Oryza sativa Japonica Group: one gene and its partner. The protein of the gene in region 1 interacts with the protein of each later gene in a pairwise test. Links are inferred from orthologs where the notes say so. Each region holds a gene or a part of one and is shown on either strand. Other genes may lie near its edges.

Evidence for each region.
Region 2: the proteins of protein PEP-RELATED DEVELOPMENT ARRESTED 1 homolog, chloroplastic (region 1) and protein rough sheath 2 homolog interact in binary tests that used the Arabidopsis thaliana proteins (3 or more experiments, as listed by UniProt). The link is inferred for Oryza sativa Japonica Group from reciprocal best matches to the Arabidopsis thaliana genes AT5G48470 and AS1.

What each region holds. Positions count from the first base shown.
Region 1 is NC_089045.1:15,317,709-15,321,871, reverse strand, and holds the start of protein PEP-RELATED DEVELOPMENT ARRESTED 1 homolog, chloroplastic, read left to right. Parts: upstream 1-1,363; 5' UTR 1,364-1,574; coding exon 1,575-1,850; intron 1,851-4,163. UniProt on the Arabidopsis thaliana protein: Plays an essential role in early steps of chloroplast development. May be involved in the redox control of plastid gene expression by maintening the redox state around chloroplast nucleoids.
Region 2 is NC_089046.1:24,247,899-24,252,153, forward strand, and holds the start of protein rough sheath 2 homolog, read right to left. Parts: upstream 2,802-4,255; 5' UTR 2,452-2,801; intron 1-2,451.

The DNA.
Region 1 (4,163 bases):
GCACCACGTCTCCTCTGGTTATCATCTGTGCCGAAACCCGGTTGACCTCGCCGAGAAGGCTAATCCCTGCATGCGAATCGAAAAACACAAGCAAGAACAAGATAGATTGCAACCAAATTGCATATGAATGATTAAGCACTCGGATTTGGGGTTTCACAAACCGATCTAGCGGCGAAACTGTTCTTGACAGAATAATCTAAGCAAAACCCGACTCTAAACGATGAAGGCTATTGAATAAATATGATTAAGGACGTCCTAGGGTTGCCCTAGGGCGCACACCCCCTTAGGCTAAGCCCACAACACTATTACAAGGCCCAAAACACAAATCAGATTCGGACTGGATGAGATATGTGGCTTGTTTTGCAGTTTCCCAGCAACTTGGTAGGAATTTTGACGTGGGACCAAATCCATCTGAAGTAGACTCCATATGCTTTCCAACAAGTATTCATGGGCCCCAAAATTCCTTCTAGAACAGTGCGGCTAGATCCGTTTGAAGTTGATGCTGTCAGGAGGCCCGAATCCAAATCCAAAACATGTAGAACTTTATCTCTTGTCTTCTGTGGACCAAAAGTGACGTGGTGAGATGAAAGAAGACTTGGAGAAGGTCTTGGTTTGGTCCCCAATCAACTTCTTCAATTATCCATGCATTCCTTACGCTCGGTCTCTTTTCTTTCGCCCAAACAAGTACCTCTGTAAACAAAAACATACGAAACTCATTATGTAGTAATGTTTGTTCAAATATATAACAAGTAAATCTAACGTAGAACATATGCACCTTTGGTTGATTAATACATAAGGTAGTCTTGGTTATATCCGAGCTAGTTGTGTCCTCATCAACATGTGAGTGCACCTGCTCTCGTCAGCAAAAACCGTTTCCCGAACCACGGAAGGAGTCTTTTCGCATCGGTTTTTAAAGATGGATAAGGTGCTATAAGAGCAGGTACAATAGTAGGCTATAAGCCAGCTATAAACATATTTTAAAGAGATAAAGCAAGAGAGAGAAGAGCAGCGGGCTACAGATCTGTAGCCAGCTGCAGCACGGACTCCAAGACGTAATGTATGTATGATAGGTGGGACCAGTTATTAATAGTATAGTAAACAACTATTGTATAAATTGGTTATAGGTGATTCGAAGCTAGTAGTTGGCTATATAGATTTAAAGCTAGTAGTTGGCTATACTATTAAACTTGCTCAAACCGGTTTTACAGTCGAGGGAGGCGATTCAATCAGGAACAAGACACGAGAGAGGCGAAATGGACTTATTCCCTGTACTGACCATCCCGTTCCGCATTCCCACGGCCCAGCCCACACATGGGAGTCGAATAGGAAAAAGAGAAAAAAAACCACAGCCGCTATGGCCCTCTCAAATCTCTCAATCTCCTCTTATCTTGGGCAGTAGTGGCGCTACCTCTTTCTTCTCTCTATCTCTCAACGAGCGCGGCGCGAGCAAGAGGAGCGCGCACCCCGGCGACATCAGAGCTCGTCGACGCCGGGGACTCTGCGCGGCGGCTAGGGAGTTCGCCCGCCGGAGCAAGGGCTGGGCGGGACAAAGAGAAGAAATCTGCAGCGAACCCATGGCGATTCTGCCCCTCTCGATTTCCCACTCTCTTACCTCCGCCTTGTCCGCCACCTCCTCCGGCATCGGCAGGCCAGTTGCCCGCCTCCTCCACCCGCGGGTCCCCTCCCGTCCCACCGTCATCTGCCTCGCCGCGCCGCCCAAGGTACCCGTCCCCATCGCCTCACCGGCTTCACTAGGGGACGACCCTTCCAAATGGGACCCGGCCGAGTGCGACGCCCTTCTCCGCGGCGGCGAGCAGGTCGCCTCCGTGCTCCAGGAGATGCTCAAGCTGGTACGGGTTTTTTTTTCTTTTACTGTTATTTATTTGGTAGATGGTCCTCTACTATTTGAGAGAAATTGGACATTCTGCCGTTGCCAAAACAGGGTTTGGCTCAAATGTCACTCCCTGGATTGGATTAGTTAAAAAGCCACTTCCAACCGGCCGATGTCAAACCGCTGTTTTGCCATATTTGCCATTTCACAGGAATTCCACCATTTTTCGCACTTGGCCTGACCAAAATACCCTTCGGGCTGCGGTTTGATGTCGGTCACACATACATGGACATCGTATGTTGTACTACTTAAAGTCAAACTACTTTAAGTTTAACTAAGTTTATAGATAAATATAGTAATATTTATAATACCAAATTAGTTTTAGTAAATCAATAATTGAATATATTTTCATAATAAATTTGTCTTGGGTTGAAAATGTTATTATTTTTTCAACAAACTTAGTCAAACTTAAAGCAGTTTGACTTTGACCAAAGTCAAAACGTCTTATAACCTGAAACGGAGGGAGTATTATTCATGAACTTTGCAATTCTTTTTTCCACAATGATTCCCTCAAGAAAAGCTAGCAATATGACGGATCAGCAGGACAATCATATGCAGCATATCAAATCAACCAAAGCAAGCAAGAAAAGCATCAACGCATTTGGGCAGCTTTACCTGGTGAAACCCAGATTGATGAGGAACCCGCACCGCGTGACCGACTTCAGCAACAAGTCCTAATAGAATCAGGCCGAGGCAACATCCTCTCCACCCAGAGGTGATCGACGCTAGGAACCACCGCCACGTCTGTGGCCGTAGCCATACCCATATGAGGCCGATGAGGAGGAGGAGGAGGAGGAGGTGGTGGCATGGCTGTAGGAGGAAGAGGAGGACGAGCGAAGGCGGAGGTCATAATCAGCGTGGAGGTGGTCGTCGGAGTGGACCCTGTAGGCCTGTACGCGTCGGAGGCGAGGCGAAAGTGGCGCGCATGGCTGCGTCGGGGGAGTGGGCGTGGCGGTCCGGCTGGTCATGGAGTGCACCGCGGCAGAAGGTGGCCTTCACCTCGGCCGTGGTGGCGTCCCGCCGCAGCCCCAACGTTTGGTAGTGGTCGCTGCCCATTGCTGGCGCCTATCACCGAAGGGGTATTTTGGTCAGACCAATGGCTGAAAATGGTGGAAATCCTATGAAATGGCGAATATGGCAAAGCGGCGGTCATGGTTTTAAAAGCGTCGCTTAAGCGTTGCCTAGGCGTCTGAGCGCCATCAGGGAGCAGAGCGTCCCCACTGCCTACCCTTCTACACGTCTTGGATCCTAATATCTCGTGAAATCAGGTAGACACGGGCAAGGTGGGGGTCAAGGGCGCATGCGCTGTAGGGAATTACACATGCTGGGAAGGAAATCGCGTGAAGATATGATGGAAATCGCGTGTGCAGCAATTTAGGGAGGGAAGAGTGAAAGATGGAAAGAGAATAGAGAATAGGGGTGCGCCAATTTAGGGAGAGGGAAGGGTGAAAGATGGAAAGCGAATAGATAATAGGGTGGGCAGAGATTGGAAAGAGAAGATGGTTGTCTCCCTCTTGCTGCTCCCTTCTTCTCCAATGGATCTGTCTCCCTGCTCTTCCTCGCCCCTTCATGTTCTTCCTCTCTTTTTTGCCTCATATATCTCTAGTATGCCTCTTGTGCTTGTGTTTAAGGCGTCGCCTTACCCTTGCCTTAAACTCTTAAGGCGTTGCCTAGGCAATTGAGTAGGGGTGGGTCGCCTTGCCTCACCTTGTCGCCTTAAGTACACTGGTGGCGGTTTAGCATCGGTTGGAAGTGGCTTTTTAACGAATCCAATCCGTAGAGTGGCATTTGAGTGAAATCCTCTTTTAGCAGTGGCAGAATGTCCAATTTCTCACTATTTGAATTGTGGGTAGTAACTGTCTCGGTTGACAAAATTCTGGGATATTTTAGCTCTGGGTGGTTAATAGATTGGGTGTTTTATTTTCAGTTCTTTGGTGATTAAATACTTTATTGTTTTATTATCCTCTGGTGGGTAGTATATTAGAGCATTTCACGACGAATTGGCCAATAGTTCCCTCGGGAAAAAAAATAATTGGCCATTTGGAAAAAAATAATACATCCTTTGCTGCATCTTTTCACACTTTCTCAAGGTTAGAAGATTATGGATTTTTATTAAATTTTCGAACAACCAGGAATGAAGCAATCTTCAATGATGAATTAGAGAACCTCGGTATGCGATGTGGAATAGCAAGGTTCATGATGCAGCTGAATTATAAGGATTGCTACCTTTGAGGGTCTTAAAGTTGTAAACATTGTATTGTATATTCTTGAT
Region 2 (4,255 bases), on another chromosome or scaffold:
GTGTGTAAGCATGAACTTTGCAAACAGAAAAGATCAAATCTTCAGTTCAGAAGAAAGAAACGACACACTGCAGATCAGGAATGGCTTGGCATGGTTTCTAGTTGTGCTAATCTAGTCAAACAACCAGTCAACCACAACCAGTTTAAATGCAAATGTTGATACAGAGTAAAGTGATTACCGTCTGGAGGGAGCAAGAAACTGGCCAGAACAGAAGCTAGGGCTGTGATAGTGTAAAGTTAGTTGCTTTATTCATTGCAGCATTTATATGTTTCAGTTTGGGGTGTCAAAAGCAGGGGAGTTAATTTATTTGTTCAGTGATCCATAACTGTGACCTGCACACTCTACACATCCTACTTACTACCACAGTACCACAGATAAAGCTTATACATGCTCCTCTACAACAACATTGGTACTAAATTTGTGCAAGATTATTCCTTTGACATTATACAGTTAACTACTCGTTCAGATAACAGTTAAAGCACAGAAAATGACAGAGAGAGAAAAAAAAAAGAGAAGGCTGAATTGCTCCAATTGGTTCTTTGGAGGTTGCAAGGGCCAACCGACCATAAACACTATTGGTAAGTAAGAGCATTGTTAAGCACCCATGATTCATCCAGCTATTACTATCAACATACAGACAAATTCACAGATGTCAGGACAAGTTGTGGGCACAATTCTTGTGAGAGGAAATAATAAGGCTACCACTGTTTTCTCGCAAGCTTGTCTTCCATCTTTAGCAGTGTCACCATCTGGCATTAATTGGGAGCTGATCAATGGGGAGATAATCTGCCAAAACACCTACCTAATACCCTCAAGAAGGCTACAAAATAAGGGAATGTGCAAGAGGCAGAAGCAAATCCAAAGTAAAAGTGATGATTCTAGGACCATTTGGAGCCCCCACTGGTTGCCTACTAATGACGAATTAAAGCTATGGCCAGGGCTAATTGCGCACGAGATGGAATTTTGATTTGGACAATAAGGGTTAGTTGGTTAGGTGTCTCGAGCAAATTTGACAAATCGAAAACCAATTTAATTTGCAATAAATTCACTCTATTTAATATGGCACCTCTTTAGTTTTCACCTAATTGTAATGAAGGACTCATGAGAGAGAAATGCAATAAAATCTGCAAGAATTTCACCTAGAACATCTTCTGAATTCTTGCAAGCAATATGCTTTTGATTTTATTTTTTTTAAGTTGAGACAAAACAGTTGTTTCTAAAAAAAAGTATTTATAAAAGGGATTTATAGGAAACTTAGGATTCCTCAAGAGTGGTCTTGTGCCATCCATTTCATCTAGAAATTCAAGCATTAACCAAGAAGAAACAAAATGAAAGAATGTTGAAAGCATGGTAGTAGGCCAAAGAAATCAATGTGTTGTTGTTTGTTGATCTGATTGGATTGGACCGTTGTATCCTCCTTGGCTAGATGTTACTACCACAGTAGTAGTACTGACAAATTGAAAGCAGTGTGGGGGTATACTATACTATACTACTCCTATACCACAAGTATACTGAAACATGGATCTGTGTTGCTGGGTGTTACTATCTTTCAGGTAACTAATATAGCAAGTTCTCAATTACTGACCATTTTGTTTTTTTTTCCTTAGGTGGTAATTTTCATGGAAGTGAATGTTCCAAGGGATATGGGCTGAGAAGCAGGTAAAAACAATCATGAAGTAATCAAAGGAGGAATGATGAAGAAGAAATGGCATCTCTGGAAAATCTGTACTGAAGAAGTTACTTTGTTTACCTCTCTTGAGTAGGAGGAAACAATCCATAAACCCCCAAAAGTACTCTGGATAATAGCATATTTCAACTAATTATAAAAAAGAAACATTTGAAGAGGAAAAAAAACAGAATCAAATCTTCATATCTGGGAGCAGACTAGCAGTAAGTAGAATCCCCCTAAATACATTATTGGACCATACAACAATCAGTACAATAATGCTGCCATTGAAGATTCAAGAACTAGGTAGATGTTTCAATCAAGAACACAAATTTCACCCACTAACCACAATCCATACAAAATCCACAAAAGTAGTTTCACTCACCATATCAGAGGCAACATTTAACCCCAACCTAGCAGATTATCTATCCATACTAACTAAATCCCAACTGGTGAATCAAAAGAAAGAACTAAGCAAACTGACAATCAATCCTTACCCTGAGAGCACATCCTCTACCAACTTCCCTACAAGACAAGAAATCTAACAGAAAGATCTATTGCAGAAAAACAGACTAGCAGATATAGGAGAGACAAAATCTGACCAAAAACACCCAACATGTAGAGCCATACAGACCAAGAAACATGAACACAAAAAACATAGTAACAAAGCAACCCACAGAACAGCTTTCTTCAGAGCACAACACACATGGCACCTGCTGCATTACATCATAAGCTCTACACTACTGAAACTGCTCAAGAAACTGAAGGTAGTAGGATTCACTTACAGAAACGCCACTGCACCATCCTGCTGCTCTGTTCTTGGACCTCCCTGGAGCTCAAAACCCCAAATGATTTTAAGAACAAGAACAAGAAGAAGAAGAAGTCCCAAGAACACGAGCAGTGGTTAGTACTAGCAGTAGTAGTACCTAGCTAGAGAAAGGCAAGGACAGTGAGATGTGAGCTGAAAGATTCTTGTGAGCCTCCCACTGAGAGAGAGAAATACAGAGAAGACTCTCTGTATATGGAGGCAGTGGTGAGCAAGCTCAAGTAAAGGAGGTGGGGGACAAGGAGCAGCGAGAAATTAGGGCACGCGAGGGTGGTGGTGGTGGAAAAGACGGGAGGAGGAGAGGAAAAGGGCTGGGTGGAAAGGAGAGGCCTCTGTATTTATAGACAGAGAAAGAAACAAAGAAGCAGAGAAAGAAAGAGATGGAGAGAGCTAGACTAGTCACTGCAGCTGCAGCAGCTGCAGCAAACAGTGCATGCATTGCAATGCAATGCAATGCAAAGAAAGCACCATGGCCACACCCACACATACAGCTGCTGCTGCTGCTGCTGCTAAGCTTGAATGCACATGGACTCATGGAGATGGAGATGCTGGAGATGTGCATGGTGCATTGGTGCCATGGTCCATGCAGCAATGGATGTGAGGTGAGAGGTGAAGGCTTTGCATTTGCTTTTGCTTCTCTTGGAGATGACTGACTTCACTTCACAGTGTGGGTGTGATCAGAGATGGCACTGTTGGAGAGGGAGATGGGAGGCAAATGAATATCAATATCAAATATAATTTTCTGAATGTTTGTATATGCATTTTCTTGCAGCATGCATGCATGCATGGACAGGGGAGATGATCCATACTCTAGGTGAGTCCAGATGAGATGAGATGGTTGCCTCTTGTTGCCAATTTTTATTTCTTTACACTGTGCTGGTACAATGGCCGTGCATGGATGAGCCATCATCTGCATTATTTTTTTTGCTGCTGCTGTAGCACAAAACTGTGCTAGGAATTTTCTTGAGAAGATGCATGGTGAAATGGAATCTACTCCCACCAATCTGGCTGCCACCCAGCCCAGATCACAGTACAATGTTTGTAAAAAAATCTCCAATTCTCCACTGCTCAACAAGCCAGATGCATGAGAGTCGTCGTCCGATCGCAATCCAACGGCTTAGTAGTAAAACCATGTAAAATTTTATATCCTCTCATCGTCTACATGTTAACTTACTGAGCTTAGCCAAAATTTGAATTTAAAAGGTTATATTTTAAGTTGATTTTAAGATTTTTTTTCTTCTTAATCTATTTTCTAGTATCGTCTTTCAAAATCGCTAATAACACTAATATAGAAGTTTGAACATAAATTATTTTTGTCTGATTCATTCATAGTAGTCAATGAAGACTGAGACTTAATTGATTGTATTAAAATAATACTACATTTCACATGAAAACTCCTCCCTCCATTCTAAAATACAACGATTTATAGGTTGTTTAGCAAATACTAAATTTAGGTCCAAATATTCCCTTTTAATCACTTCGGTTATCAATTTTTAAATTTTGAATTGTTTGAATTTCACTTTCAATCATCTGATTGGCTTTGGAATCATTAAAATGATTGTAATCATGAGAATCAGTTTTGGAATGCTTACATTTAATATAAAATTTGAATCCTAAAAATCTTTACGTTTTAAAAGTGAGGGGAATAATAAATAAGCCTTTTTCTTTTGAGAGAGAAATAAAGAAAGAGTCTCATCGTTTGCTCATATCCTCTAATATATCAAAACGGCTTAATAGTAAATAAAAATAAATTTATAGGTAAA